2 linked regions of the Zea mays genome follow. The protein of the gene in region 1 binds, or shares a complex with, the protein of each later gene. Links are inferred from orthologs where the notes say so. Each region holds a gene or a part of one and is shown in the gene's direction. Other genes may lie near its edges. The genes, in order: ATP synthase subunit gamma, chloroplastic precursor; atpE.

The links.
Region 2: the proteins of ATP synthase subunit gamma, chloroplastic precursor (region 1) and atpE are in contact, whole or in part, in a cryo-EM structure (PDB 6FKF), measured with the Spinacia oleracea proteins. The link is inferred for Zea mays from reciprocal best matches to the Arabidopsis thaliana genes ATPC1 and atpE. Residues at the interface, in NP_001413255.1 of Spinacia oleracea: Asn81, Gly82, Pro84, Phe85, Thr88, Leu89, Glu91, Val92, Arg178, Pro186, Thr187, Ala188, Lys189, Gln192, Asp196, Asp197, Phe199, Ser200, Leu201, Val203, Ser204, Glu205, Glu206, Ser279, Ile281, Leu282, Glu283, Phe284, Glu285, Gln286; in NP_054942.1 of Spinacia oleracea: Leu8, Thr9, Pro10, Asn11, Thr26, Asn27, Ser28, Ile31, Pro39, Thr40, Ala41, Thr42, Ala43, Gly64, Gly65, Phe66, Arg68, Ile69, Thr75, Leu77, Val78, Asn79, Asp80, Glu82, Lys109, Arg110, Ile113, Glu114, Leu117, Arg121.

Annotation. Positions count from the first base shown.
Region 1 is NC_050102.1:161,828,494-161,844,846, reverse strand, and holds ATP synthase subunit gamma, chloroplastic precursor, read left to right. Parts: upstream 1-7,003; 5' UTR 7,004-7,046; coding exon 7,047-8,126; 3' UTR 8,127-8,326; downstream 8,327-16,353. Other genes in the region: Polynucleotidyl transferase ribonuclease H fold protein with HRDC domain, read left to right, coding at 3,353-3,531, 3,642-3,680, 4,002-4,507, 4,602-5,100, 5,281-5,933, 6,167-6,245; protein FAR1-RELATED SEQUENCE 5, read left to right, coding at 15,636-16,353. UniProt on the Arabidopsis thaliana protein: Produces ATP from ADP in the presence of a proton gradient across the membrane. The gamma chain is believed to be important in regulating ATPase activity and the flow of protons through the CF(0) complex.
Region 2 is NC_001666.2:47,763-63,254, reverse strand, and holds atpE (ATP synthase CF1 epsilon subunit), read left to right. Parts: upstream 1-8,633; coding exon 8,634-9,047; downstream 9,048-15,492. Other genes in the region: petA (cytochrome f), read right to left, coding at 808-1,770; cemA (envelope membrane protein), read right to left, coding at 2,010-2,702; photosystem I assembly protein Ycf4, read right to left, coding at 3,032-3,589; psaI (photosystem I subunit VIII), read right to left, coding at 3,952-4,062; rbcL (ribulose-1,5-bisphosphate carboxylase/oxygenase large subunit), read right to left, coding at 4,951-6,381; atpB (ATP synthase CF1 beta subunit), read left to right, coding at 7,141-8,637; ndhC (NADH dehydrogenase subunit 3), read left to right, coding at 11,038-11,400; ndhK (NADH dehydrogenase subunit K), read left to right, coding at 11,454-12,137; ndhJ (NADH dehydrogenase subunit J), read left to right, coding at 12,241-12,720. UniProt on the Arabidopsis thaliana protein: Produces ATP from ADP in the presence of a proton gradient across the membrane.

The DNA of each region.
Region 1 (16,353 bases):
TCATGCTATGTTCATCATTATTATCAATTTAATTTATATTAAACAAATATACATTGTCTAACTTTGTCATGAGACAAGTGTGAGTGAAGGAATCATCGGAGAGGTTGGTCAGGAGTCGAGACGTCGAGGTGGATTGAACATCAATGTTTGCCACCCCTTCTTCGTCCGAGCTAGAACTATCCTCATATGAATTTAATTACTCACCAAGCTTGACCATACTTCTTGAAATATCCTTTGCCCTGTTTTCCTTTCTTGAATTTGTCCTTCTTGTTCTTTCTTGCTTGAGCAGTCCACTATAAAATGACCGGTTTGGCCACACTCATACGATGCCCTCTTCTTTACTTTTCTTCTAAACTTATCATTCTTTCGAACGAACTTCTTAAAGGTATTGATGAACATTGTCGTGTCTTCATCGCTTAAACTTTCATCATTACTCGAGTTTTCGAACACTTTCTTGGACTTGATATCTTTACCCTTCTTAGTGCTATCTTGATCATTTGCAACCAAGGCATGAGAGTGAGAGCACCTAGAGGGGGAGGGTGTGAATAGGTGATCCTGTAAAAATCAACACTAAATAGCACAAACTTGGATTATGAAGTGTTAGTGAAATCAAAACCATGGTGCTATGTCTAGAGAGAAGGAGACGACTTCTTCACTTAATTGCTCTTTACAAAGTGAGTATTAAACTTAGAGCAATTATCAAGTGAGTGGAAGATCGCACAAGAATAACAACAGGTGACACAACGATTTTTATCCCGTGGTTCGGCCAAGTAGAACACTTGCCTACTTCCACGTTGTGGCGTCCCAATGGACGAGGGTTACACTCAACCCCTTTCAAGCGATACAATGATCTACTTGAATACCACGATTTTCTTCCTTATAGTTGATGTTTCCCTTGTGAGGAATCTCCACAAGTTGGAGCCTCTCACCCTTACAAAATTAATCACAATGAAAACCACAGGAGTAAGGGAGGGAAGGAATCACACGCAAGAGCTAGAGTCGCAGCAATGGCACGCACACAAAACACAGCGCAACAAGTCTACAACTCAACAAGTGCTCAAATCTTAGTCACAGTGATTCGGATGCGTGTTTGTGGAGTCTAGGCGTCTTAGGATGTTCAATGGAGGCTTGGTGTTGTGCTCCATGCGCCTACCCCCCTTTTATAGTCCCAAGGCAGCTAGTAGCCGTTGGATCTCCATTTGGTAGGCAATTCTTGCCTTCTGTCGGTTGGCGCACCGGACAGTCGGTGCATCACCGGACATGAACAGTGCCTGATTTCTTTCCTTCTCTGGCGAAGCCGACCGTTGAGCCCTCGGTCCCCTTGGCACACCGGACATTGTCCGGTGCACACTGGTCAGTCCGGTGCGGCCTAGTGACCGTTGGCTCTGGCCACGTGTCGCCCGCTGATCGCGTTGCCGACCATTGGCGCGGGCGCTATTGGCTCATCGGACAGTTCGGTGCACCACTGGACAGTCCGATGAATTTTAGCCGCAGCACCCTCTGCAATTTCCGAGAGTAGCGAGTTCATCGTTGAGCCAGCCTGGGCACCGGACACTGTACGGTGCACACCGGACAGTCCGGTGCACTGAAGGCTGGTGCAAGTCTGGCTGGACTTAGCCAAACTTCTCCAATCTAATCTCATTTGATTTGACAAGGTTCCTAGCACTTAGAGGAATATGTTAGTACCAAAAACAATTCACTAAGGCTAGAGTCATACCTTGATTCTTGATTTGCATCTCTTCAACACTTAGTACACATCACCTTAAACACAATATGTATTGGGCATCTAATCACCAAAACATTTATAGAAATTGTCCAAGGGCACATTTCCCTTTTAAAGAGTCCCTTGTCTTGGTTGGAGCTTCCTCAGATTGTGCTATCTTGATCTTAGTGCTATTTTGATTATGCGGCTTAAGCATTGCGATGCATTTTTTTGCATAATCTCTGGTGTCATCTCTTCTCCTTGAGAAGCCTTGTTCAAACTTATGTTGATAATCTCTCAAAGACTTGGATGTGCACCGATTAAATGCTACTTCATCTTGTCGGTCCACTCGTCATACTCAATAAGAGTTGTAAGCTTTACAAGGGGTGCCGAAGAGAAGTTGAGTACAAAATTACGAGAATAATCAAATTGAAATCGGTTGAATTCGGTATCTTTGGTTTTGGTGGATGATTATTCGGTGTTGAGACTTACCTTGCTCATCACCTTGGACACCAAAAGCTCAATCAAGTCGTCGTTGTACTCCATCTTGCCTTTTCCTTTGTCTTCCTCGGTCTTTTTCTCGATTCTTCTTCGGCCTTTTTCTTCGCATCTTACTCTTTCATGTTGAGGAACATTCTTTCGACAATCTTCATGGCTCAAGTCATAAGGCTCAAGATCCTAGCTCAAGTAGTAGGACATGGTCATAAAAAGTGGAGAAGTATTGAAGTCAAGACCTGGAAGGGCCCAAAGAGCTAAGTACACTTTGACTTGTTGAATAGAAAAGAAATGGAGAAGAAAAGGACTTGAAGGGTGATGTCTGGGTGCATCGGACTACAGGGTCGGTCCGGTGTGCGTCGGACCGTCTGCGGGAAACTATATGGTCTCGAGAATTTTGGCTAAAATTCACCGGACCGTGAATAGTACAGGGTCTTGTGGTGCACCGGACCTCAACCAACGGCTAGTTCGTGGGCGCGCTGTTTTGGTTCAACGGCTAGCTGACGTGGCTCGGTCCGGTGGTGCACCGAACCGGTTCAGTGACACGCGCGCACGCCACACGCACCCACGCGCGCACACATAAATGAGTAATAAAATATTAAAAGTATATTGCATGTGTGGTCTAGTTTTGATCACAAAAAACTTATAAACACAAACATGAGATCGGTTCGACGATTAAATCTTTTAATTAAAAGATATAACGAAAAACTATTAAAATAGCTCTCTCGGTTTACGTGATGCTGCATGCAGTGCATGCATATATCCTGCTTGGGGGCTGGCGCCAGTTTTTTTATGGGCCATGCTCGGATGCATCCTGCATGCGGGCTGCGCGCATCATCTTGTATGTGCTCCGGTGCTTCCGCCGACCTGGTGCCAAATAACTATACAATCCTATACAATCTCTATCAGGGACCAAGAAAGGCAGATGTCAGTGATGACCTGAATATTATATTTTCTTGTCAACTTTAACTGCTATCCTGAATATAGTGCTATCCTGTTGCTTAACTGCAGAAATTGATACTTTAACCCTCATAAAATTTGGATAATCCTAAATATTATCTTTTCTTGTCAACATTAAATCACATATTGATATGGTGGTACCCTTGGCCTTCATCATATGTCTCAAGTCTTTGATCATCTGTAATATCTAATCAGATACTTCCAGTGATAAAATCAATTTTTTCTTCGAGGCTAGTCATCGCTCAAATATGGTGTGCATGCAACTGTATTCAAAAGAAATTGAATCCCCTCCTGGAGCTTCCAGTGCAACATCTATTCTCTCACGAAATTTGCAAACTCATGGGTTCGACTCCAAAAAGTCTAGTGAAGTGAAGGTACTTCTTTTCTGTATTCAGTTTTTGATTGTAGAATGTCTTCTGGTTAGCTTGCCAGCCAGCGATTTTGTATTTTCTGTTCCTGAATTTCTAATCTTCTGCATCCACAGGATCTTGTTTGGAAATTTTGTGCATGGAGGGACTTAATGGTCAGTAAAAAACTGTTTTCCTTAGAATAGCTGCATCCCCTTCTGCAAAGTAGATCTTTTTAATTGCTTATTTGTTGTTACCTCCAATCAGCAAAGCTTGATGTTCATACAAGTGAAAGCAGCAGCAAACTAGTTGTGTGCCTTATCACCTTTTGAATCCTGGGTGACCACCAAATGTCACTCAGGCAAGTTGCATAACGTTGGGCACATTGAAGTAAATGCATTTCCAGGATATCATGCATATTTGCAGTTATGTAGTTGTGGTGGGTCTATTCTTCGTTTCTGATATCTCATAATAACTTGGATTTTGGATCATTCCAGGCTCGGATGCATGATGAAAGCTTACGATATGTTCTGCCAGACCAAGCTATAGCTGCCCTTGCCGTTAGTCTTCCAAAGGGCCCAACAGAGGTGTTTGCTGTCATAGCAGAAACTGACCTAAGCATTTCAAGTATGTACCCTTCCTTGTCATCACCGTCACCTCTTGTTGTGGCTCATGTCAAAGAACTCTGTTATCTGCTGGATGACATCACTACCAGCATGGACAGCATCTTTAAAAGTTTACTAGAGAAGTATAAAGATCCAAGTGGATTATGTCGACTATCAGTTTATAATTATAACCTTATAACACACCTAAGTTTGAAGCAAACAAGTATGTTTTCCGTTGCTCCAAGTGGAAAGAAGTTGACAGCACTGCCTAATAAAAAGGTTTCACGGGATTTATTCATTAAAAAGTTTTCCTGCAAGTCCCCGGTATATCACAATTGCAGGATTTATGCTAGTGATGGAAGACTACTTTGCTACTGTGACCGCAAAAAACTGGAATGGTTTGTCTCCTAAATATATGCTCATTAGCTATTTACATGCATGTAGCATGAATGAAGAATTATTTTGGCAAACTGATGAGCTCTTCTATCCCAGGTACATTCAGCGTAATTTGGCGAAATTGATTGAAAATAGTCCTCCAGCAATCATGCTTCTCTTTGAACCTAAAGGTCGTCCAGAGGATGAAGATAACGAGTTCTATATTCAGAGCAAGAAAAATATTTGTGTGGGCTGTGGAGAAAAGAGCCATTATATTAGATACAGAATAATACCGTCATGCTACAGGATGCATTTTCCAGAACATTTAAAGAGCCATCGTTCACATGATATTGTACTTCTTTGTGTAGACTGTCATGAAATAGCTCATTCAGCAGCTGAGAAATACAAGAGGCGAATAGCAGAAGAATTTGGAATACCCCTTTTTGTGCAAAAGATAATGAACTCGGGTGATATAAGTTTGATTACCAACACATCAGTATCTGAAGATAAATTGAATGGAACAGGTGTCTCCCCATTGCAGCTGAGGACTGCTGCCATGGCTCTTCTACGTCATGGATCCACTATGCCATTGAAGAGATGTGAAGAGCTAATGCAGGTGATGACATCCTTTTTGTATTTCTGGCTCAATATGGATTACTTAACAGTTTCTGGAGCTGACATAGTGACATCGACGTATTAACATGTTTGATCCTATCCGTCCATATGCTTCCCTTGTTAAATATGTACTTGCTCTTAGCTATAGGTTGCTGTTATGAACCAGTTCAATTCTTTGCAGATTGTGAAGTCATACTATGGTGGTAGAGATGTGACTCCTGAAGATCTCGAGATGGCATTACTTGTTGGTATGAGCCCTCATGAGCGAAGGCGTCTTGAAAAGAAAAAGGGATATTCGTTTAGAGCTCAGGCTCAAACTATTATTAGAAAGAGCAGCAGCAATACCATCTCAGAAGACAGTGGACATGGATCAGAAAATTGTCATGCCTTATCTGCGCGATTTCCTGAGGTTGGAACTGGTAGTAATGGTCAGCAAGAGTTTGATGAGACAGGGAATCAAAACCAGCTAGAGAATTTAACCCTGAGCCAGGGAAGCTCAAGTTTGCCAGTCAGCATGGAGGACACCACTTCTGATCATGACACTGTGACACTCGAGACCGATACCGAGCAGCAAGCAAGAGGTGCCTGTACTCCTGGAAACAGTCATGACGACAAGGAACAATCCATATGTGACAATTCTAGTCAGGTCATTTCCAAGAATGCTGAGAAGATATCCCTGTTGGGTCATGGGCATCATGGTAAACAAGTTGTGGAACTTTTGTTTTCTAATGGTGGAGAGGAATTTGTTAACCAGTTTTGCCAAAGGTGGAGGCAGATCTTTGTTGAAGCTGTTCACCCCCGTTATTTACCTTCTGGCTGGAATATTAACCACAGGTTGTTTGCCTTTCATATATATCTTCTCTTGTGCGCTATGCATGCTGATTAGTTGCATAATTGCCTGAACTTCCTGGTGCTTAGAATTGGCCAAGCTGTAGCGAATATCGAAGTTATAGCCATGTACCAGTGACCTTAAAAGATCTTTCTATTTGTCGTAATGTCTTTTTGTCCAGATTTCCTTTCATCACCAGATATTTACTGTTATCTGTATGACCTCTTGTGTGGTTCAGTGGACGGCGGGATTTTGGTGACTTCAGTGTCTACAAGCCACCAAGGAAAGATCCTCAATCTGCAACTGCAAGGGATTAGGCTTACGCGGGTGTCATGCTGTCGTTGGTACCCTGAGGTTCAACTTACTTTCCAGAATTGGTTCCATTCCCTTAAACTTGATCTTGTTGTACTTGTTCCATTCCCTTAAACCTGATATTGTTGTACTTGTATGTATCTCAATCTGTGTGTTTGTTCGAGTACCTTGAAATACCAATTTCATCTCCTATGTATTTCTTTGAGATGAACTTTGCATCAGTTTTGTTGAGCCGTTTTTTTATACGTGAGGATTTAGAGTACTAACAATTTAAGTCCAAGAAAAATCAACAGTGAAGTTCAACTCAGCAGATTAAATCTTCAAAGTGCCGTTTTTAACTGGGAGTTGAGCTCAAATTGGTTTCTTCGGGACAGGCTTGAAACTTGTTGCGTTTGGAACACAGAAACTATTCAGGATTTCACTGGAAACGATTTGATTCCTGTAGAGATGGGCCAAAGCTCCTCCAAATTGTGATCGTAGGGAGTATCTGCTATTTTACCGTGGGATATCCTGGGCAGGATCCCAGTTTCCCCAGAGCATTATTTTGTTTTCCATTCCTGACAAGCAAAAATGGACTGCGGAGAGCGTCATATTGCAAAGCGGTGCAGCCAGCTCGGCAGATCCACATGATCCTCCCCATCTCGCCATCACTGCCCCTCCACCACTCAGCTCGGCTTGAATACCCCACCGTGCACACCTCTCCACCCAAACCCAATCCATCCAAACCCATTTCCCTCGCTCCCATCCCGTCCCGCCCCTTGTCTCTTCCGCTTCCCCCCGACCCCGCGCGCCGCGGACCAGCAGCCATGTCGTGCTCCCACCTCTCCACCGCCTGGTCCTCCTCGGCGCTCGCCAGCAGCGCCTCCACCACCCGACGGCGCTCCCCCCCGCGCTCGGGTCTCCTGGTGCGGTGTTCCCTCCGTGAGCTCCGCACCCGCATCGACTCCGTCAGGAACACGCAGAAGATCACGGAGGCCATGAAGCTGGTGGCCGCCGCCAAGGTCCGGCGCGCGCAGGAGGCCGTCGTCTCCTCTCGCCCTTTCTCGGAGGCGCTGGTGGAGGTGCTCTACAACATGAACCAGGAGATCCAGACGGAGGACATCGACCTGCCCCTCACCCGCACCCGCCCCGTCAAGAAGGTGGCCCTCGTGGTCCTGACCGGCGAGCGCGGCCTCTGCGGGAGCTTCAACAACAACGTGCTCAAGAAGGCGGAAACCCGCATCGATGAGCTCAAGCAGCTGGGCCTCCAGTACACCGTCGTCAGCGTGGGGAAGAAGGGCAACGCCTACTTCCAGCGCCGCCCCTACATCCCGTTGGAGCGCGATCTAGAGGTGAGCAGCGTGCCCACCGTCAAGGACTCGCAGGCCATCTGCGACCTCGTCTACTCGCTCTTCGTCTCCGAGGAGGTGGACAAGGTGGAGCTGCTCTACTCCAAGTTCGTGTCGCTGGTGCGCTCCGACCCCATCATCCAGACGCTGCTCCCCATGTCGCCCAAGGGCGAGATCTGCGACGTCAACGGCGTCTGCGTGGACGCCACCGAGGACGAGCTCTTCCGCCTCACCACCAAGGAGGGGAAGCTCACCGTGGAGCGCGAGAAGGTGAAGATCGAGACGCAGCCCTTCTCCCCCGTGGTGCAGTTCGAGCAGGACCCCGTGCAGATCCTGGACGCGCTGCTCCCGCTCTACCTCAACAGCCAGATCCTCCGTGCCCTGCAGGAGTCGCTCGCCAGCGAGCTCGCCGCCCGGATGAGCGCCATGAGCAGCGCCACCGACAACGCCATCGAGCTCCGCAAGAACCTCTCCATCGCCTACAACCGACAGCGCCAGGCCAAGATCACCGGGGAGATCCTCGAGATCGTCGCCGGTGCCGACGCCCTCGCTGGCTGAGCCTGAGTCCCCTTGGTGGTGCGGTGCTCCTGCTATATATAATTCTTTTTCCTCATTTTCTCCACTCTGCCTGTAATTCCTGATAATAGCACAAACGCAACGGAGTTCTGTGTTCCTTGCGACACACAAGAATTTCAATCCAGAGATGCCAAAATGTATAATCTTGCCGCAACTGAGACGTCGAAGCTCAGTGTATTTTTATGCCCAAGTCTTCCAAATGTTTGGCACGAATCAGCTACGGCTCGGCATCCTGCGGCATGCACCAAACACCCTACCTAGTACATGAGTAAAGGTGCAATAGCAACTAAGACGAGGCTGTTTTGAACACATAAATCTCAAAGCAATTTGACAGGATTGCTTTTTCATGCAAAATTTATCAAACTTCTGTGTTCTTTTTTTTTATAAAAAAACATTGTTAAGAGAAGAAACATATAATGCTGCAGTTGAATCACGTCACTTCCTCAGAATCATCAGGCCGGTAGGGGATGAAGGTAAACTATATATGACACCATGATAACAACGCCGGCTCATATCTTGGTCTCATCAGTTATCACAATCCTGTCCTGTGGATGGATGGAGCATATTGGAATCAAGCTTGCTATGGCGACGTAATACAGTGACAAGCGTGGTAACACTGTAACTCTTCACTATTATAAAGTAGATGTGTTTAATGTAACGGTTGATCAACAACTAATTGAGTTAGATGATCGTTTTAGCTTTGCGATAGAGCTTTTATCGCTCTCTGTTTCTTTGAATCCAAGAACAGACACTTTTGATATATCAAAGTTACACCACTGATTTTTCAATCAAGAAAGTTCCAATTAAAACGCCAACTTCCACATTATCAGCTTGGTGTATACATCACCTAGAGCTAAATACATTACCATCACTCGCTGATGAAAGGACTCATTAAATTGGGTAAAAGTTCTACGGATTAATAGATTATTAAGATTAATGGTAGTCCCTCTTGCCTAACCTGCAACCACTAAGATAGTGTTTTCAACTACAAAAATTGTCAAAACACGTTGTTGCAGGGGCGAATCCTCCGGCCGGGTGGTAGATTGCATCCGCCCTGGTACTCTGATGAGGAGTAGGTTTAGTTGATTGTCTGGCCTTCTAGATGGACACAAGAACACAAGGGTTTAGAGCGTTTCAGGCCACCGGAGCATAGTATCTCACATTCACTATGAGTTATATTGCTTTAGAGTTAGGGAGTCGAAGGTCCGAGTGTTAGATTGACCTCTCCCTGCTACAGAGCAAGTGCTCTCCCTTTTATAGTCCAAGGAAGGCACATACAAGGGAGTTTTGGCTCTGACCGATGGGCCTAAGAGAGTACAATATGGAACGAGAAACAATTGGGTAGAGCTGACAACGCTAGATCTTCATGAGTCTGTATCCCTTCTTGGACGTTGCACGATCTTCTGTCGTCCTTATCCTGTCACCTTGCCCCGTCTAATCGGAACTCAGGTCTTGATGTAGGTTGCGGTGTAGCCTGATACGCTCTCGTGCGTAGGGTGTAACGATCATGTCATCTCGTCTTCTCCATCCGTCTCTTCATGCCCCTGCCTGGATAAGGGATAGGCCCGAGAATAAGCGACGACATGGTATTCCCAAGCATTCCCTGATCATGGGCCCGGATCGCACTCGAGGGGGTCCGGGCTTCGGCCACCCACGCCTGGATACGTGGCGATACCGGACCTCACGTGGCCTGAGGTTCGGGTGTTATTTCCCATTCTTGGAACCATTCTGAAGCCTTGGTGCTGTAACCGGAGAGTGCCTTCTCCTCCGTGGCTTTATGTTCTATCCGGATCCCTTTGTCCGGAGATTCGTCGGGTCACAAGGAGGTCCTGGTCCTATATGCAGGATCCCAGACTTGAAGTTGTCGGTTCCTCCCTTTATGGGGCTTGATGTAGACGGTCGTCCAGCCCAAGAGACGAACCTGGTCTAGCCACGACTCCATATGGTGGGCCTCAGCCCCATGTTAGGTCGGCTGCCCGTGAGATCTTCAACGGTGGCCACTAGGGTCTCACTTTGACATAGCAGGAATGAGTGCCCAAAGCATATTCAGGGCACCGACACACGCTTATAGAATAGAATAGAATAGAATAGAATATGATTTTCCACAAATTTATATGATCATATGTATTGAGAAGGAATTGACCATGAAGATTAGCTCTCTTATATATAATAGAATCATTTAATTTGGGCGGTCTTCGTGGAAGCAAGTTCAAGTTAACAGAGATGTAATCATGTAAGTCTTGTTTCTCCATATATATCATATATGAAAAATTATTGTGATGTCTATTGGAGTTAATTAATATACAACTATATTGTACAAGTTTCTTTGTTAGCTTATTATCTATGCTATATGCAAATTACTATATGTGTGTGTATATCAAATCGCAATGGCTAACCCGTCCAACGAGCAACGAAGATGTAAACAGCAGCAGCACTAGCTTATTGTATGTTCATGTGTCCTAGTAACAGAGCTTATTGATCTGAAAACCTAACCATCTAGATGCACTCAGAAGCAAGTCTAGTTTCTGCACGGAAAGAGGGAAATGACCTTGCGGTGTTTCGTACGGAGATGATAGCATGCATGTATGATGCATCTAGGTGCCTCAAGTTTCATTTTCTTACGTTAAATTTCATGCGATTTGCTTGCATGGGTGAGAGATTTTATGACGGGCACAACTCGGATCGTCAAGAGCACAGGCCAACCAATTGAGATCTTATCTGAACGTATCGACTTTAATGTCTATGTGTTAGTACCAAACCACTCTAATATAGAAAGTTTTGTGCTAATTCCTCGTATTTTTAACTGCTAGCTCTTTTCGACCCCGATCAAATATTTAGGCCTAGTTTAGGAGTTTAAAAACCGGAAGAGATTAGAGAGACTAAAATCACTTCTTTATTCAAAATCCCCTTCGATTTTGTGGCTACCAAACTAACCTTGGAGTTGCCGCTATCAACTAGAATGATTCCAAATTCCCACCTTCGACCTATAGTTGATAAAGTGGCCAAAAAACTACCAGCTTGGCAAGATCCTTGTTAGAAAAAAGTGGTCACCTTATTCTAATTCAATCCACACTGCTGGAACTTCCAAATTTTGCGTTGATGGCTGAGCAAGTTCCTACTTGGGTTAAGAAAGGAATTAATACCATTGCTCGTATATTCTTTTGGACAGGCTCAGATAACTCAACAAATGGGAAGGCGGTAGTGGCTTGGCATTATATTTGTCAGCCAAAATCTTCTAGTGAACTTGGGGTCAAAAACTTCTCTATAGCTGGCATGGCACTTCAAACACGTTGGCTATGGTTGCAACACACTGATCAGACCAGAGTATGGGCAAGCCTACCTATCGAAGTGCCAAACGTGGTCAAGACATTCTTTGAAGCTTCCATTTTGTGATTGTGGGTGATGGAACCTCGTGTTAGGGAGGTATGGCTATGGCGTGGGGGAGGGGAGACGAACGCCGGACGGAGTGGCGGCGTATATTTTGCTCTTCTCAAAAAGTTACCAGCCTATTACATTGTTCAAGTACTTATACTCTCACGAAACCACAGCTCGTCCAGCCCACTATTACATAACACTAGTGTCTAACGCGCTTCCTACGCGCGCTAGTTTGTACGATTCTACCAAAAATATCAGGGGCGGACTCACGTTGGGCTGACTCAATTTTCTGATTCTAATGGAGTTTTTATCTTATTCACTATAGCTATAAAGGTCCATTAGTAAATAGGTATTTATTTAGACCCCACTCAGGTTTTGGGCCCCACTCAAACTTTTTGTTGGGTTCGCCCCTGAAAAATATGTATATTAAAGGAGGGATACTATATATAAGGCTATTATAACTATAATGTTGATGGTTTTTTTTTGATAGAAACAAATAGAGATACGATGATATATAAAACAAGCATGTTGGAAAGTAACCATATAATCCCAATATGCTTGTTTTTTGCTTGCCCTCAATTCCTTCCTATGATATGGCTAATAAAATGAAATCGTCGATTCAGGTGTCTTCACAACCTTTGGCGTTCAGATTAGAAGAATATCATGGTCAACCGGTACAAAAGGTTGCACAAATACTGAATATATGTGTTGAGAAAATGGTGGCATATATGGCTTAATATGACATTTCTTTTTAAAAGGTTTGCCAGTTACATTAGCACTTTTTTTAACTGCAACCGATTGAAAGCTAATGTTTACCCTTACCTCTCTGTCACATTATCATTTTATTGTTCTACTCTTCATCCCGATTAGTCTAAAAAAAGAAGACCTCGCTCGAAGACAGGTACGTGTTACAATCTTACTTCTAGATTTATATTTTTTACATAATAGTTTTTTTTTAAAAATTACAACCATTTCCTTTGGGTTTATATGGTACATATTTGACTAACCTTTTATGTGTTTCATTTATAGTAGTTAGTTAACATTTGTTACGTTCCCTTCTCCACTACGGAAAATACAAATTCAATCAGCTCTTTCCTCTTGACATATAAACATTCCTATTACTCTGATGTGTGTATCCATACATACATATGCGCACACACAAAAATACATATGTGCGTGTGTGTATGCATCAATATATGCACATATATAAAGCATGGCATATTTGAAATACCGCATTAGCATGTGGAGGATGAAGAGGATCAACAGCGTATAGTGCGGGCGTGGCTAAGCATGTATGCAATTGTGCATGCGTCATACAACATGACCGTGTGCAACAGTGCAACACAACAGGGCGACCTGGACAACACATTTTGCTGAGGCGTATCATCAAATAGCTAGCACGCACGGATGGAGTCTTTAGCAAAGGCGACGCTATGTTCTTCAAAATGTCACATTGGCCGATGGAAGATGTGGGAAGAAACATCAGAACATAGAATGAGGAATGGCGGAATATGTTGTTGGCTTTCTCTATTCGTGGGCTTGCCATGGCTAGGACCCTGCGGCGGGTACACCAGGAGGCACGCACAGCAGGCGGTGCTGCCAGTGCGTAGAGGCAGCTTGGGCACGGAGAGCCTCGTGGCCACCTCGGGAGCGAATAGCAGCACGTCCCGATGGCGGCCACAGGGAACGGAGTATGAAGGCACGAACGACGGTGGGGGTAGAGATGAGGTCAGACGCGAGGAAGATGACGAGCGAACTGGTTCCTTACGGAGTGAGAGGATGCGCAATATGGCTGAATGCACCGTCACTGAAGAAGCAATAGAGGCAGCTAGGATGCGGCGGCCCGAGGGGGGAGGTGGAGCTGGGATGTGGTGGCCCGACGCGGATTCGAACGGGAGGTGGGAGGAGGATAAAAATGCAAGGCGTGGATGAAGAAGTACCTGCATCGCCTTCTTCGCCTCGGCTCCTCCGCGCGGATGCGCCTCTGCTCCGCATCTGCTCTTTCGCCCAGCTAGAAGGTGGTATTTTCTCCCTTTGTTTTTTATCAGCCCTTTGTTTTGTTTTTTAATCGCGTTCTGGATGTTTCCAGCACGGACCCGAAGGTAGGCGTAACGTCTCGCTAGGATCTGCAAGGGAAAGGTTGATGCACAGTGTTGATTCGCGATCTGACGGCATGAATTAATTAAGCTAACGTGGCCGAACGGTGGACGAGCTTTGCGTCCACGTTTGTAATATAGAAATATATTCATTTGGCCCATTCTGACCCAACAACGCGCCTATTCGGCTGGCATCTTAGAACAATTGGCGCCTTTTTCCTTACCTATGCTTATGTCTTCTTCTTCTTCTTCAGTGATGCCTAGGGATGGTAACAGGAATTCCCTATCAGGCTTTGGCTTCTCATTCCCGTCCCCGCAACAAAAAAAAGTTCTCCGTAGGGATTCCCATTAGGAGGGCATTTCTTCCCTATCCTCGTTCCCCGCGGGGATAAATCCCCGTCGGGAATAAATCCCCGTCGGGGATCACCATCCCCGTTTAAATTATAATCATGGCATATACTTTCTTTGTTATTAATACAAAATATTGTCGCTTATACACATTGTCAGACGTTAGAAATTATTATGTGTAAATCGAAATAAACATATTTATACAACGAGTGATTTCTTAACAATGTAATTATTTATTTTTATCATTATATATTATATGAAAATATCATCATACATAAGTTTAACGGGTCCCCGCGGGGAACGGAGATTTCCCATCCCTGTCCTCGTTTATCATTGGGGGAGGTTTTTTCCGTTTACATCTCTGTGGGGGAACCTTCTTTATTTCCATCTCCTAATGAATAAATTATCCACAAGGAATCAGGGACCGGGGTCCATTGTCATCTCTACTCACACCTTCGAAAACGCACGGCGAAGGTACCAGCAACTTCTGCGACAAATCACAGGCTTCGCCGGATCTCTCACCTTTCCTTGGGCTTTGTTCAGTCAAATTGGATTGAGGTCAGAAAGTACAAATAAACTTATTATTCTAGTCGGAACGGTTCCGTAAACGAACATGCCCTCGCCGGCTCGCCGGATCTCCGGGTCTCCGCCTCCATTGCCGGCATCAAGTGGCTATAAGCCCTAGGCCCTAGCCTAGCCACCGCGCCGGCATCGATGCAATGCAAGTCAGCAAGTGACATTACGAATCGATACAATGCAACGTGAGATGGGCCACATAACTAAACAAGATGGCCTATACGTACAAAACACAAGGCCCAACCCAAACACACCAAAAGACCAACAATAACGCTTCGTTCTTCCTCCTGGTCCTGGAGCAGCGTTTCAGAGCTTGCTCCCGTCAGACTCTTGAGCGGCGGCCGGAGCCGGCTACTCCGGCGGAAATCGCCTCCCGAGTTGCCTGATCGGCTCCCTGAACGAGAGTGGTCAGAATCATCTTTTCCCACTCCTGCCGTCTATTTTCCCGACTACTCTACGTGCGCTTTCTCTCTCTGCGCAACTAGGTGACCGCGACCGCGGCCACCGCCCTACGTCACGTACGTGCTTGCTAGAGTCTAGCCTCGTCGGTTCCTTCGCATGGTCTCGTTCAGGCGGACCCTTCGCCGGCGACCAACACCCACCAGGTATGCGCATCCTCTCTTCCCTCCGTTGCTGCGCGAAACCGAGTACCTGAACCCTAACTTATTCTATTTGCGTATTTTTGTTCGGAACGGATCTAATTACAAGTTTATGTATGTAGTGTTCCTAAGAAATTCGATTTTTTTAATAAAGTTATTGGTGTCGTCCGCTTCTGCTCGAGGATTTAGCAAATGCCTTCTCTTGATGATACGATGAAACTAGAGCTTAGTTGTAAACCTTCTTTTTGGAGATAAAAGTAAGAGTTTTAGAGTTCAGGCATCGTGTCATGTTGCAGCACAAGGCCACACACTAGCATTGTCTTGCAGTCTTGCTGTCTTGCTATTATTGATGTAATCGACATCCTATGTAGAATAGTGTTTTTTTTTTTTGCAGCTTACACGGTATACATGAATGTTGATTTGCAGCAATTTACTGGAAGTGTGGAACCACTTCTGATGCTGTCTTTGTAAATATTGATGGAGCTAGCTGAGTAGAAATGGACTGCAGTCAAGATCCCCAAGAAGAAAGCCATCAAAGAAGGGAGAATGGTGAAGAAGCAGAAAAGACGGCTGACTATGGAAATGCTTTGAGTCGTAAGGAGGTAACAGAAGAGCTTCTTGGTTGTGTGGTTCATAGTGAGGAAGAGGCGTACAGGTTGTACTGTGATTATGGGCATCGAATCGGTTTTAGCGTGCGGAAGGGCAAACAGTCTTACTTTATTGGTACCAAGAATATTCGAACAAAGGATTACTACTGCTCAAAGGAAGGGCTTAAATACGATGAGCCTGTTACAGAAGCAAATTTTAATCGACCAGACACAAGAACTAATTGCAAAGCAATGATCCGCTTTAGAGTTGACGAGAAGGGGCGGTGGACAGTTATACGCTTTGTTCCTGTACATAATCACCAGTTGGCAAAACCTGGAGAAAGACACATGCTGAGATCAGCCAAATCGCTTGCTGTTGGCAAATCAGGTGTTATAGATCCATTAGCATCTACAGAGGCACATCCAATTAATGGTTTCTCTGATATGACAGGTGATATAGTTGAGAATTCAGGGTATACTATAAGGGAATGTTACAATCAAGTGGGCATGCAGAGTATAACAGTAATTGAGGCAGGGGATAGCCAAAGTCTTGTCAGCTATTTCAAGCATAAAACTAATGAGGAAGGCATGTTCTATTGGGACGTCCAAGTTGATCAAGAAGGGCGCA
Region 2 (15,492 bases), on another chromosome or scaffold:
AATTCTTATTGTTATAACGCGGTTTTGTTCCATAATCTAGAAATTGGTTACCTATTTCTATTTGTAAAAATAACAAAGAGAAAACCTTTGCTCTGATGGTTGGAATCCCTCCATTTATTCTTTTGTTTGTTAATGATGTTAGTGAGTGAAGCAAACCATCGGTCGATTTAAAGCCCCCGCCTTTCGCCCATAAAATGGATTCACTCTTATGAAGCAACAAGAAAGAGGGGAGAGGATCCAGTATTTTATTCCATGAAGGAAGTATCCTGCAAATCGTTGATTTAGTTTAGAGTAAATAAACTAATAAAACCTTAATCAAAACTACTCAACTAGCCTAAAAATCAAAACCACCCTTCCATGGGAGGGTATAGATTTTTTTTTACAAAATTTCTGTAAGTTCAAAGTTGAACTTAATTCAAAAAGTAAAGCAATTCTATTTGCTCACAAGAAATGTGTCCCCGCCATACCTTCTTTCCCTCTGTTTGTCCACTACCGCGCCCGAACCTAAGCAAAGGAAGTCCAAAAGACAGACCCGAATAAAGAATAAATAGTAATCTTTGACAAAACAAATAAGAAGAAAAATGATTCTTACTTCGATACAAGAAGAATCGACACAAGAAAAAGGCAAAAAAGCCTTTTTCTTGTGCCCAATAGAGGATTAAGAAGACCCACAATTCCTCCTAAAAGGACTTGTTCCTTTTATTGTTCTCGTCTTTGCCTTGGATCCTCTTCTTTTGCATGAGATAGAAATAAGGAATTCCAGAAATCGAGGCTTTTTTCTCACTTGATGGTAAGAAATCCCAGGATCTAGAAATTCATTTCGTACAATTGAACCTTTTCAAACTGTTTCTTTTTGAGAACCAAAAAAACTTGTGCCAAAATAACAGATGCGAAGAAAAACAAAAGGCCTTGGACGCGCAATGGATCCTGAAGCACTATTTCTGCATCCCCCTGACCAAACCCTCCTACATTAGGATTGCTTGTTAATGGTTGATCAAGCTTGATCGATTCCCCCTCTGAAAAAAGAAGTTCTGGCCCGGGAGGTATAATATCAATCACTTGGCGCCCATCCGATGCATCCACTATGGATATTTCATATCCCCCCTTTTCTTTACGTAGTATTTTTTTTACTATACCTGTTGACGTAGCATTATAGACCGTATTGTTACTCTTGCTACCGTCAGGATAGATCTGTCCCCTTCCTCGGTTTCCCCCTACATATATGGGATATTTTAAGAAATGAACGTCTTTTTTTGTAGCGGGATCGGGGGAAAGAATGGGAAAGACAATTTCACTATATTTCTTACCGGGAACAGGGCCTATCACAAGAATATTTTTTTTATTGGGACGATAACTCTGAAAAGAGAGATTTCCTATCTTTTCTTTCAACTCAGGAGAAATACGGTCGGGCGGCGCTAATTCGAATCCCTCGGGCAAAATAAGAACAGCACCCACATTCAACCCTCCCTTTTTACCATTAGCAAGAACTTGTTTCAGCTGCATATCATAAGGAATTCGAAGAACTGCTTCAAATACAGTATCAGGAAGCACTGCTTGGGGAACTTCAATATCCACAGGCTTATTAGCTAAATGGCAATTGGCACATACAATTCGTCCAGTTGCTTCCCGCGGGTTTTCATAACCCTGCTGCGCAAAAATGGGATATGCGTTTGAAATAGATGTGCGAGTTATTACGTATATCATGATCGATACAGAAATCGATCGAATCATCTGTTCCTTTAACCAAGAAAAAGTTTTTCTATTTTCCATGTCCAATCGCGGATCCCGGAATTTCTACAATAAATTAGATAGGTAGCTAAGCTAATCTAGTTCCCTATACACGAGTCTGTTGTCATTCTACTGCAATAGTTGTACTAGAATGATGAATACCTTGAGCAGGTAGAAATAGAAAGAATTTGGTTAAAAAGGAAAAGGGCTTTCTTTCTATTTCTAAAGGAAGAAAAGAAATATGCTAATTTGATTAATATTAGGAAATGAAATGAGTGAGTTTATGCTTCACTAATTGAATGATAAATGACTACAAGTGAAGGAGATAGACGGTTTAAACAAAAAAAGACCCAAAATTTCAAACACGTGTCTAGAATCACAGGAAAACTACAAACAAAAATAGTGAAAATTAGCTCGTTAGGAGCCCATCCAAGATTGTTGTAGACCCAACGAATTAGTAGTTCCCAACCGCGGGTAGAGTGAAATCCAACAAAAAAATCAGTAACTAAAAGAATAAAAAAAGCTTTTATTGAATCATTTAAGTTATAGAAAAATTCCTGAACCCAAGAATTCAAAATGACAAGTTCTTCTTTACCCAGAAAAAAAGAACCACTTAGAATAGCCAAACAGATTATATTTGTTGAGAAATGCAAAATGATATGGAGATGATCCTCATTATCTATTTTGGCCAATTGTATTATTTCCTTGTGTATTCCTATAGGAAGTTTTTGTACATGTGTCTTCGGTTTCTCTTTTATCATTTCGTCCAAGAGAAAAAGTTCCTCTAATTCTATGAATCCTTCTAGAATCCTTTTCTCTTGAATATCAGTTAAGAAAGTTTCGGATTGCCTGGTATTCCACCAATTCTTAATCCAAAGTTCCAGACATTTGTTAAAAGAGAAAGAGACTCCCCAGGGCAAAAGTACGATAAATACAAGATATAAGAAAGAAGGCAATGCTTTCTTTTTTTTCATTTTTGATCTGTAAGCTGAATATATATGATATTTCTTTTCTTTGAAGCAAAAATTCTATAACAAGGTTTGAGACCTTGTGTTTGTATCTATTTCTCTTTTTGTATACTAGTGGAATTTCATTGTATTGGGTTCTTTCTTAGATCTAAATGGAGTGGAATAGAGAAATAAAAAAAGGCCTTTCGTATAAAAATGGAAGAATAGTATGCCATATATCTCACTTGGACAAAACAAATTCGAAGCAATTTTCTCTTATCCTCGTTTGTTCCTTCCTTTACTTTAGATAAATACTCGAAAATCCCCTTACAATTGCAAAAAATTGCAATTGGTACTCAAAATACTTCAATTGGTACACGCAAGAAATAGGCCAATTCGGCAGCTTTTTGTTCAATTTCTCGTGGAGTAAAAAACTTCTCATCAGTACGAGTCAAGGGAATGACCCCCTGGCCCCGGATTTCCATATAAAGGATACGACGAGGATAAAGACCCTCTTTAACCTGAATTCTAATTGATTGGATATCCCGCACAAGGAATTGAAGGAAGATGCGACGTTTTATTCCAGGGAATCCCCAACGAAAAATGCACACTATTCCCTCTTTTCTATCGAATCGGTCATAACCACTGCCTACATTCCATAAAATAGTGCACCACAAATAGGAGCTAATGAATAGGCCCGCGATTCCGTAGAAAGACATCACGACCCCCTGTGGAAAAAAAAGAATTTGTTGAGATGGAAGTACAGATATCATATTCTTACCAAGATAACTGGAAGCCCCAACCGCTAAGAATCCTAATGAACCTAGAAAAAGAATACAGGCCCAGAAAAAATTACCTCTTTTTCGAGAACCTTTTAGAAGTTCTATCCATATGTGTTCTGATCGCCAATTCATATTAGATATACTAAATCCAGTAGCGGTCAATTGAAATTGAGAGAATAAGCTAAATGATTTTTCACTTTACTTTTTTTGATTCTGAAATAGCCTTCAGTAGCTAGTACTCCTGTGAAATAATTGGTTAGATACATTGACTTTCTATTCAAAAAAAATTAGTGGATCCACTTAAAAAAAAAAACTCGCTATAGTCGGCTACGCATATGCATGCATTTATGCTCGTAGCTTATATCTGCATCCATAGACGTTTTTCATTTGTGTGTAGAAAGAGCTACATACCCTATCATATTATAGTACTTACACAAAAAAATATCTGTATTATGATCCTGGAAATACATTGAGAAAATTTGGCCCCGTCGTTTCTAGACAATCTTATTTTTCTGCACATAAAGAAATAAGGAAGTCATTGCAATTGCCGGAAATACTAAGCCTACTAAAGGTACGAAAATAGAGGGTAAGTTAAAATCTGTCATAGAATATGTGTCTCAATTCAAATTTACTATTTCTATCTATTCGAAATATATCTTAAGATTCTTATGATATAATTAAGTATATCTATTATAAGGAATATTGACTATTGTATTTTTTAGTTTACAAAATAAAGATTTTTTATAGATATAGAATAAAAAAGTATTCTATAAAATAAATGAATGGAATTGATAATAAGAAAATTGCAAAAAAGGGGAACTCAAAAGGGGAACTCATTAAAATAAAATATTTTATTTTTCTTTTCCCATTCTCATCGCCTTTCTATCCTTCTAATCGAACTTGAAATTGGATTCAAAAGAAAGCTATTGTGAAAATAAAAGAAATACCTCTTTCAGAATACCCTTTAATTTAAAAAGTAGAAGTGGAATAGAATACCCAGTTGAAGGGTAATGATCATACGTCTGTAATGCATTGTATGTCCCAGAATAGGTCCCATTCTTCTACCTTTCCGGGTAGTCGATGGCTATTCACAGCTACTACCTTAACACCAAAGAAGAGTTCGACCCAATGCTTTATTTCTGTCTTAGTGAATCCCGATTCGACATTAAAAGTATATTGATTCTTTCCCAATAAACGAAGACTCTTTTCTGTAAATACTGCGTATTTGATTCCATTATCGTACGATAATACTATATTTTGATTTATATTTGTTTATTGTATTATACCTTTCTATATTCTAGATATATAGAATAGAAGAATCTCGATTTGTCAAGTCTCATGATCGTATCAAGATCTATTTCAATTCGGCTCAGTCTTTTTTTTTTTTAGAAAAGATTGAGCCGAATTGAATTGCAATCAATTAGAAGAATAAAGAAGAATTACTGCATTTCTTAACTTATTTTTTCTCTTTCTATTTTGCTTTTTTTTTTATTTTATATGGTATCCATCGCTTTGAAACCATCAAATTTGATCTCCTTCCATATTTCACAAGCTGCGGCTAGTTCAGCACTCCATTTGCAAGCTGCTTTGATAATTTCATTACCTTCACGAGCAAGATCGCGCCCTTCGTTACGAGCTTGTACACAGGCTTCTAAAGCCACACGATTAGCTGCTGCACCAGGTGCATTTCCCCAAGGATGTCCTAAAGTTCCTCCACCAAATTGTAATACGGAATCATCTCCAAAGATTTCGGTCAGAGCTGGCATATGCCAAACATGAATACCCCCAGAAGCCACCGGTATAACACCTGGCATGGATACCCAGTCCTGAGTGAAAAAGATACCGCGAGAACGATCTTTTTCAATAAAATCATCGCGCAATAAATCAACAAAACCTAAAGTTATTTCGCGTTCCCCTTCTAACTTACCTACTACTGTACCGGAGTGGATATGATCTCCCCCCGACATACGCAATGCTTTAGCTAATACACGGAAATGCATACCATGATTTTTCTGTCTATCAATAACTGCATGCATTGCTCGGTGAATGTGAAGAAGTAGGCCGTTGTCGCGGCAATAATGAGACAAAGTAGTATTTGCGGTGAATCCTCCTGTTAAGTAGTCATGCATTACAATAGGAACCCCTAATTCCCTTGCAAATACAGCTCTCTTAATCATTTCTTCGCATGTACCTGCAGTCGCATTCAAGTAATGCCCCTTGATTTCACCAGTTTCGGCTTGTGCTTTATAAATTGCTTCGGCACAAAAGACGAAACGGTCTCTCCAGCGCATAAATGGTTGTGAGTTTACGTTTTCATCATCTTTGGTAAAATCAAGTCCACCGCGTAGACACTCATAACACGCTCTACCGTAATTTTTTGCGGATAATCCCAATTTTGGTTTAATAGTACATCCCAATAAAGGACGACCGTACTTGTTCAACTTATCCCTTTCAACTTGGATACCGTGAGGCGGACCTTGGAAAGTTTTTGAATAAGCAGGGGGAATTCGTAGATCCTCCAAACGTAGAGCGCGTAAGGCTTTGAAACCAAATACGTTACCCACAATGGAAGTAAACATGTTAGTAACAGAACCCTCTTCAAATAGGTCTAATGGATAAGCTACATAACAGATATATTGATCTGGGTCCCCAGGAACGGGCTCGATGTGATAGCATCGTCCTTTGTAACGATCAAGACTGGTAAGTCCATCAGTCCAAACAGTTGTCCATGTACCAGTAGAAGATTCCGCAGCTACTGCAGCTCCTGCTTCTTCAGGCGGAACCCCGAGCTGAGGAGTTACTCGGAATGCTGCCAAGATATCAGTATCCTTGGTTTCGTACTCCGGGGTGTAGTAAGTCAATTTATAATCCTTAACACCAGCTTTAAATCCAACACTTGCTTTAGTTTCTGTTTGTGGTGACATAAGTCCCTCCCTACAACTCATGAATTAAGAATTCACACAAGCACAGGGACAACTCGATAGGATTAGGCGAAAGAAACCTTTGCAAAAATCTAAAAAAAATGATATTTAATTAATATCAACTCATTAAATAAAAAAAGGAGTATGCTTAAGTTAAGTAATATGTTTCATTCATTTATGTATACACCCTGTGTACGTTCTATCCTATAGGAATTTTACTATAGGAATTCGATAGGAATTGAGTTGTTGTTATGGTAAGTTAACACGGTTCGTTATTAAACCGTGATTTGATTCACCAAATCCATCATTATTGTATACTCTTTGATAGATATAGCGCAACCCAAACCCTAATCTTTATTTTACAATTTTTAAAGTTCTTCCCCTTTGATATTTTGAATCTAAATACCTAAATACTAAGAAAATTCTCTGTTGACAGCAATCTATGCTTCACAGTAGTATATATTTTGTATATCGAAGTCCTAGATAGGAAAGTAGAGTAGGCACAGATCCTTCACAAAAGGCGAAATTTATATGAAAAAAATGGATTGAACTTTCCAACGGATTCATTCCATAAGTAAACGATTGAATGGGATTCGCTTGGGCAACGAAATCAAGTGCGAGTCCCCTTTTCTTTTTTATTGAATTAACTAATTCATTTCCTTTTGACTTTTGGATTTTTGGATATTTTTTTTGATTTGGCATTATTCAACAAGAAAAAAAATTTCGACAAATTCTTTTTTTTTTGAAAATTATGTGATAATTATGAGAACCAATCCTACTACTTCGCGTCCCGGGATTTCCACAATTGAAGAAAAAAGCGTAGGGCGTATTGATCAAATTATTGGACCCGTGCTGGATATCACTTTTCCCCCGGGCAAGTTGCCTTATATTTATAATGCTTTGATAGTCAAGAGTCGAGACACTGCCGATAAGCAAATTAATGTGACTTGTGAGGTACAACAATTATTAGGAAATAATCGAGTTAGAGCTGTGGCTATGAGTGCTACAGAGGGGTTGATGAGAGGAATGGAAGTGATTGACACGGGAACTCCTCTCAGTGTTCCAGTCGGTGGAGCTACTCTCGGACGAATTTTTAACGTTCTTGGGGAGCCTATTGACAATTTGGGTCCTGTGGATACTAGTGCAACATTTCCTATTCATAGATCTGCGCCTGCCTTTATCGAGTTAGATACGAAATTATCTATCTTTGAAACAGGTATTAAGGTGGTCGATCTTTTAGCTCCCTATCGACGTGGAGGAAAAATCGGACTGTTTGGGGGGGCAGGAGTAGGTAAAACAGTACTCATCATGGAATTAATCAATAACATTGCTAAAGCTCATGGAGGCGTATCCGTATTTGGCGGAGTAGGGGAACGGACTCGTGAAGGAAATGATCTTTATATGGAAATGAAGGAATCCGGAGTAATTAATGAAAAAAATATTGAGGAATCAAAGGTAGCTCTAGTCTATGGCCAAATGAATGAACCGCCGGGAGCTCGTATGAGAGTTGGTTTAACTGCCCTAACTATGGCAGAATATTTCCGAGATGTTAATAAGCAAGACGTGCTTTTATTCATCGATAATATCTTTCGTTTTGTTCAAGCAGGATCGGAAGTATCCGCCTTATTAGGCAGAATGCCCTCCGCAGTGGGTTATCAACCTACCCTTAGTACAGAAATGGGTTCTTTGCAAGAAAGAATTACTTCTACCAAAAAGGGATCTATAACTTCGATCCAAGCAGTTTATGTACCTGCAGACGATTTGACCGACCCTGCTCCTGCCACAACATTTGCACATTTGGACGCTACTACCGTACTTTCCAGAGGATTAGCTTCCAAGGGTATTTATCCCGCAGTGGATCCTTTAGATTCAACCTCAACTATGTTACAGCCTCGGATTGTTGGCAACGAACATTATGAAACTGCGCAAAGAGTTAAGGAAACTTTACAACGTTACAAAGAACTTCAGGACATTATCGCAATTCTTGGATTGGATGAATTATCGGAGGAGGATCGTTTAACTGTAGCAAGAGCACGAAAAATCGAGCGGTTCTTATCACAACCGTTCTTTGTGGCAGAAGTTTTTACCGGTTCTCCAGGAAAGTATGTTGGTCTTGCAGAAACAATTAGGGGATTTCAACTAATCCTTTCCGGAGAATTAGACGGCCTACCCGAACAGGCTTTTTATTTAGTGGGGAACATCGATGAAGCTAGCACGAAAGCTATAAACTTAGAAGAGGAGAGCAAATTGAAGAAATGAAATTAAATCTTTATGTACTGACTCCTAAACGAATTATTTGGGATTGTGAAGTGAAAGAAATCATTTTATCTACTAATAGTGGCCAAATTGGTGTATTACCAAACCACGCCCCCATTAACACAGCTGTAGATATGGGTCCTTTGAGAATACGCCTCCTGAACGACCAATGGTTAACGGCGGTTCTGTGGAGTGGTTTTGCAAGAATAGTTAATAATGAGATCATCATTTTAGGAAATGATGCAGAACTGGGTAGTGACATTGATCCAGAAGAAGCTCAACAGGCACTTGAAATAGCCGAAGCTAACTTGAGTAAAGCTGAAGGTACGAAAGAATTGGTTGAAGCGAAGCTAGCTCTCAGACGAGCTAGGATACGAGTCGAGGCTGTCAATTGGATTCCCCCATCCAATTGATGAAGACAATCCAAAGATTTCGTTGATACAAAGAAAAAGGAAAGAAGGGTAGAAAAAGTTATTAGATAGCGAAGCGAAGTAAGTCCAATGCTATCTAGTAATTTTTCTACCTACCTACCTACTATTGGATTTGAACCAATGACTCCCGCCGTATGAAAGCAATACTCTAACCACTGAGTTAAGTAGGCAATTTATCACCACAAAAGAAGCCCCATTACTTCGATCGATTATAGATTGAATCCTTTTTATAAGCAATACCGCTCCGTTATTGGTATGTTATGTTATATAGTAAACGGATCAAAGGGATATCCTCTGGCATTAGAGAATATTCATCTTGACAAGAAATTATCTATATGTTAAGATATCTCTGACAAGGGCTATAGCTCAGTTCGGTAGAGCAACTCGTTTACACGTGCGCCAATGCTTTTCAAGGGAACTTATTATGCAATGAACATAATTGACCTTGTTGCAAAATCAATGTCTTACTTCATGGATTCGAAAGAATAGAAGAACAGTAGCCTGACAATGACAAACAGCTGGTTCAGTCCGATTCAGGTGCCAATTAAGGTGCTTACTCAAATAGAACTCCTATTGATTTGCTAGTTGATAAGGTAAATATCCAGCCCACTCAATGCTAGGCGTAATGAGGATAAGGGCCTCCAAAAAACTTCTTTTCGTTCTATGAACTTTAAGGTGTATGAAGTCTCATAGTAAACTCTTGCAGCGGAACGATAGAGACTCCATTTCACTTAGGTTGATTTAATTTAGGCCGGAGGCGACCTAAGTCAAGGTAATCCTCCTTTGAAACACTTTGGTATTGTTCCTAGATAGATCATAAGACAAATAATCAATCAGAGCACAGGGAGCCATCTTATTATCTTTCCCTAAAGAAAAACTATGGCGAATTAACTGATCTTTACATTAGTTGATGAAAGAGCCCAATGCAGAAAAATGCATGTTGGGTCTTTGAAACAGTTCGAATCATTTCGATAATAATCTGTTTGATCTGTTTTACCGAGAAGGTCTACGGTTCGAATCCGTATAGCCCTAATATATACGTCTTTTTTCCATTTTAGGATGGATATCTTATGTTTCCTTTAGTATAGTTTTCTTTTCCTTATTTAGTACTTGTTTATAGACTCGATGGTCGATTGCGCCATAGAATAGAGATAAAAGCATTACCATAGGCTCATTCATCGAAACGCAAATCAGAGAGACAGGAAAAGAAAAAAGAATTTTGATCAAATCAATAGAAGGAAGGATCCCTTACCTGATTTGAATTTCATCCTCCTTTAAATAGGATATGCTCTAAGTCTTCCCATACTTTCCTATAATGACTGCAACGATTTTCTCCATTTTGCGAATTCCTATTTTATTTGAAGTATATTACTATCATATACATTATCTAAATCGATCCACTTTAAATAAAATAGAAAAAATCGAAAGAAAAAAAAAAAGAAAGAGTAAATAATAAAACAGGATATTCTGTTTCATAATTCTGAAATAGAGTTCTTTTTTTTAGTATTACTCCTCATTAGGATGTATATATTAATCATCCTATTTTAATATATATTAATCATCCTATTTTAATTAGGTTCTAATCCAATTAGTAGTAAGTATTTTCTTTTTTATTTAATAGTCTCTGACTATCATTAAATAAAGGGTAGAGCAATTCTTTTTTCTAGAGATTCTAGAGAAAGTGAGACAAAGTGAAGCGAAAGAGTTTTCTTTGTATAAGAATTAGGTCTATATCATATCTAAATAGAAGGGAAATCAAAAAGAAGGGAAGTGGGGATTACATTGGATGAATCCTTAAGGAAGACATATCACAAAAGAAATAAAGGCTAAAGTAAGCGCTCCTTGCCTTTGGTTTGAGCAAAACAGATTCTTGTTTCACCGAGGAAAAGAGAGAAGTTCTGGATAAATTGACAATGTCAACTTGAATTGACTAATTCAGTTCCGCCTATTCCACATTAATGGGAGTACATTTATGTTTCTGCTTCACGAATATGATATTTTTTGGACATTTCTAATAATAGCAAGCCTTATTCCTATTTTGGTATTTTGGATTTCAGGACTTTTAGCCCCGGTTAGTGAAGGACCAGAGAAGCTTTCTAGTTATGAATCGGGTATAGAACCCATGGGGGGGGCTTGGTTACAATTCCGAATACGCTATTACATGTTTGCGCTAGTTTTTGTTGTTTTTGATGTGGAAACAGTCTTTCTCTACCCTTGGGCAATGAGTTTCGACGTATTGGGTGTATCCGTTTTTATCGAAGCTTTCATTTTTGTGCTTATCCTAGTTGTTGGTTTAGTTTATGCATGGCGAAAAGGAGCCTTGGAATGGTCTTAACTGAATATTCAGAAAAAAAAAAAAAAGAAGGAAAAGATTCCATTGGGACAATTATGAGTTTGATTGAGTTTCCGTTACTCGACCAAACAAGTTCCAATTCCGTTATTTCAACTACACCAAACGATCTTTCAAATTGGTCAAGACTCTCAAGTTTATGGCCCCTTCTATATGGTACCAGTTGTTGTTTCATTGAATTTGCTTCATTAATAGGCTCACGATTCGACTTTGATCGTTATGGATTGGTACCCAGATCAAGTCCTAGACAAGCGGACCTAATTTTAACAGCTGGTACGGTAACAATGAAAATGGCTCCATCTTTAGTGCGATTATATGAGCAAATGCCTGAACCGAAATACGTCATTGCTATGGGAGCCTGTACTATTACAGGGGGCATGTTCAGTACAGATTCCTATAGTACTGTTCGAGGAGTTGATAAGTTAATTCCTGTGGACGTCTACCTGCCGGGTTGCCCGCCTAAACCAGAGGCTGTTATAGATGCCCTAACAAAACTTCGTAAGAAGATAGCGCGAGAAATAATTGAGGATCGAACTCTATGTCAAAGTCAAAAGAAAAATAGATCTTTTACTACCCGTCACAAACTTTATGTTCGGCGCAGTACTCACACTGGAACTTACGAACAAGAATTGCTCTATCAATCACCATCTACTTTAGATATATCTTCTGAAACTTTTTTCAAATCCAAAAGTTCAGTATCTTCCTACAAATTAGTGAATTAGGAGGGGTTCTTTTGTGCAGAAAAAGAAAGAAAAGAGCAGTACAATCTTTCAAACTTGCATTTGAAATGTGAAATATTTATACAAAGGGGGAGAGATCAAGACAATGCAGCAGGGTTGGTTATCTAATTGGCTAGTTAAACATGACGTGGTTCATAGGTCTTTGGGCTTCGATCATCGAGGAGTAGAGACTTTACAAATAAAAGCGGGGGATTGGGATTCCATTGCTGTCATTTTATATGTATATGGTTACAATTATTTACGTTCCCAATGTGCTTATGACGTAGCACCCGGTGGATCTTTAGCTAGCGTGTATCATCTTACGAGAATACAGTATGGTATAGATAACCCAGAAGAGGTATGCATAAAAGTCTTTGCCCAAAAGGATAATCCTAGAATCCCGTCCGTTTTCTGGGTTTGGAGAAGTGCCGATTTTCAAGAACGCGAATCTTATGATATGGTGGGAATTTCTTATGATAATCATCCACGTCTTAAACGTATCTTAATGCCTGAAAGTTGGATAGGCTGGCCCTTACGTAAGGACTATATAACCCCCAATTTCTATGAAATACAAGATGCTCATTGAGTGATAATAAATTCATGTTCACTTATACAACACAATTCCAGATTTTATTCAAGTCAAGGAATATTTTGACGTTCTGTTCCTAGACGAAACGAAATACTTAGAATATAATATTCTAATTAATTCCTATTATACAAAAGGTCCAGATAGACTGAACAAAAAGGGCTTCATTTCTATTTTCCAATTTGGAAAATCACATATTTGTTTCCTTCGTATGAACAGAAAAATACAATGACTCAAAGAAGTTCCTACCACGAACTTTGTACCGCGCATATTACTTAGAACAACTGGGAAAGTAGGATAAGCAAGAATAAAAAAAAATATATTCTTCGGAATAGCGGTATACAAAATTAATAAGAAATGCAAAATGAAGAAAAGGGCACCTAATCTCACCTCTTTCTATACCATAAAGAACCAGAGATTTAAACCCTTTTTTTTAAAAGAAAAAGAAGTGTGTAGAGATTTATCTACTTACTCTAGAGATTTATCTACTTACTCTAGACTAAAGACTAAGTAGATTTTTAATAAATATTTACCCCAATCCATCTCAAAATATTTGTATCAATATCTATTCAGTAGATCCTTTTTTTCTGTGCCAGGAACCAGATTTGAACTGGTGACACGAGGATTTTCAGTCCTCTGCTCTACCAACTGAGCTATCCTGACCCTTTCTTGTGCATCATCTTAGTAAAGTATTTGCATCTATGTCAATTAAAGGGACTAAAAAATCAATAAAGTATTCCATTCAAAATTAGGAAATGGGAGGGGTTAGTCCTATGCATTGTGGATGGCTTACTTAATAATACTTAAAAAAAACGAATTAATAATCGAGATTCCTTGCCGATACTCTACTCTAATAAATAAAAAAGAAATAAAAAAGAAATCATCTATTTAATGAATAGCATAAGATTCATTGAGTTCTTGTCGCACTCCTTTGTGAAAGAGTAGAATGAGAAAGCTAGTGAATCTTAAACCCATTGATAAAAGAAAAAAAGGATAACAACTATGGTTAGGGAATAAAAGAGGGTTTGGGGATAGAGGGACTTGAACCCTCACGACTTATAAAGTCGACGGATTTTCCTTTTACTAGAAATTTCATTGTTGTCAGTATTGACATGTAGAATGGGACTCTCTCTTTATCCTCGTCCGATTAATCCACTTTTTAAAATTAAAAGATCTCGAAAACAATGAATTGAAGGATTTGATTACTCAATATTTGATTGGAATAGATTCACAATAATTCTAAAAAAAAATTATGAATTTTCTATTTCATAATCATTCCTAATTTCATTCTAAAAATAAAATAAAGAACCTATATTATAATATGGGTTCTGTGATTAATCGTTATTACTTCGATTCGTTAGAACAGCTTCCATTGAGTCTCTGCACCTATCCTTTTCCTTTGGGTTCTAGTTTGAGAACCACTTGTTTTTCAAAAAAGGGATTTGGCTCAGGATTGCCCATTTTTCATTCCAGGGTTTCTCTGAATTTGGAAGTTACCACTTAGCAGGTTTCCATACCAAGGCTCAATACAATCAAGTCCGTAGCGTCTACCGATTTCGCCATATCCCCATTTTACTTTTCTTTGAAACCAGGATTCCTTGTATAATTTAATCCATCTCTTAGTTTTTTTTGAATCATTGAATTCATTATTCGACGTAGTCTAGCAACTCATCTCTATTTGAGACACCCCGCTCGCTTATTGCAATTCAGAATTGCATTGATTTTATCGTTGATATATTTGCAATTCAATCGGAATGAATATATCCAAAAGTTTTTCTCTCTCCCGCCTCCCTCCTTCCTTTTTTAGAGTATTCCAAATCATACTATAACGCTTGATATTCATTCTTTTTTTCTAAACTGAATTAGAAATTTCATTTGCTATGATTCTATCTTCTCCTTAGTGAACTATTTATCCTTAAATTATTAACAAATAAAAAAACAAAATATCTCAAAAATGTATATAATGATCAAATGAAAATGCCAATCTCTTGGCATTTTCTCTTTATTATATTATTCATATATATTCTTCTTTTTCTTCTTTTCTATGTATTAGATTATTCCTCCGAGCCATATCAAATTGAAAATATCTGAAATCAAATTCAATATAGAATTTGGAATAGATTCTATTAAAAAAATCCATTTGCGAATTAGAGAAATAAAAAGAAAGTTCAATAAATTCTATAATCCTATTTAAGAATATCATTTAGTTAAGCATATCAAGCTAACTTTATCTTTATGAAATTCTAGTATTTTTTTTTTTCTATCTAAGTGGAACTTCCAATTTAGAACTAGTTAATAACTAAGATTAATAATTAAGATCTGACATTTTACAGATTCCCTATATATATATTTTTATTTGTTACACTATTTCTGTTATGTAAGCCCACTTAGCTCAGAGGTTAGAGCATCGCATTTGTAATGCGAGGGTCATCGGTTCAAATCCGATAGTCGGCTTTTTTTTCTATCGATGTTCTATGAACAAGAATTTCTCTTTTTCTCCGAATAAAATGGGGAATCAGGGTCTATTATGTCGTTTTACCTTACAATTTTGCTAGATACAAAGCATAAAAATAAATAATATATATACAAAAAATCCAGATGTTGATGAAATTCCATTTTTTGTGTTACTCCATTTTTTGTGTTACTTTAGTAGATTTTACTCTGTTTATCCTTTAGTTTAATTCTGTTTGAATTTCGCTGTATTCTGTAATGTAAATAGAACGAAATTTATTGTGTAAAATGAAATTTCAATAAAATAAAAAAGGAGTCTTC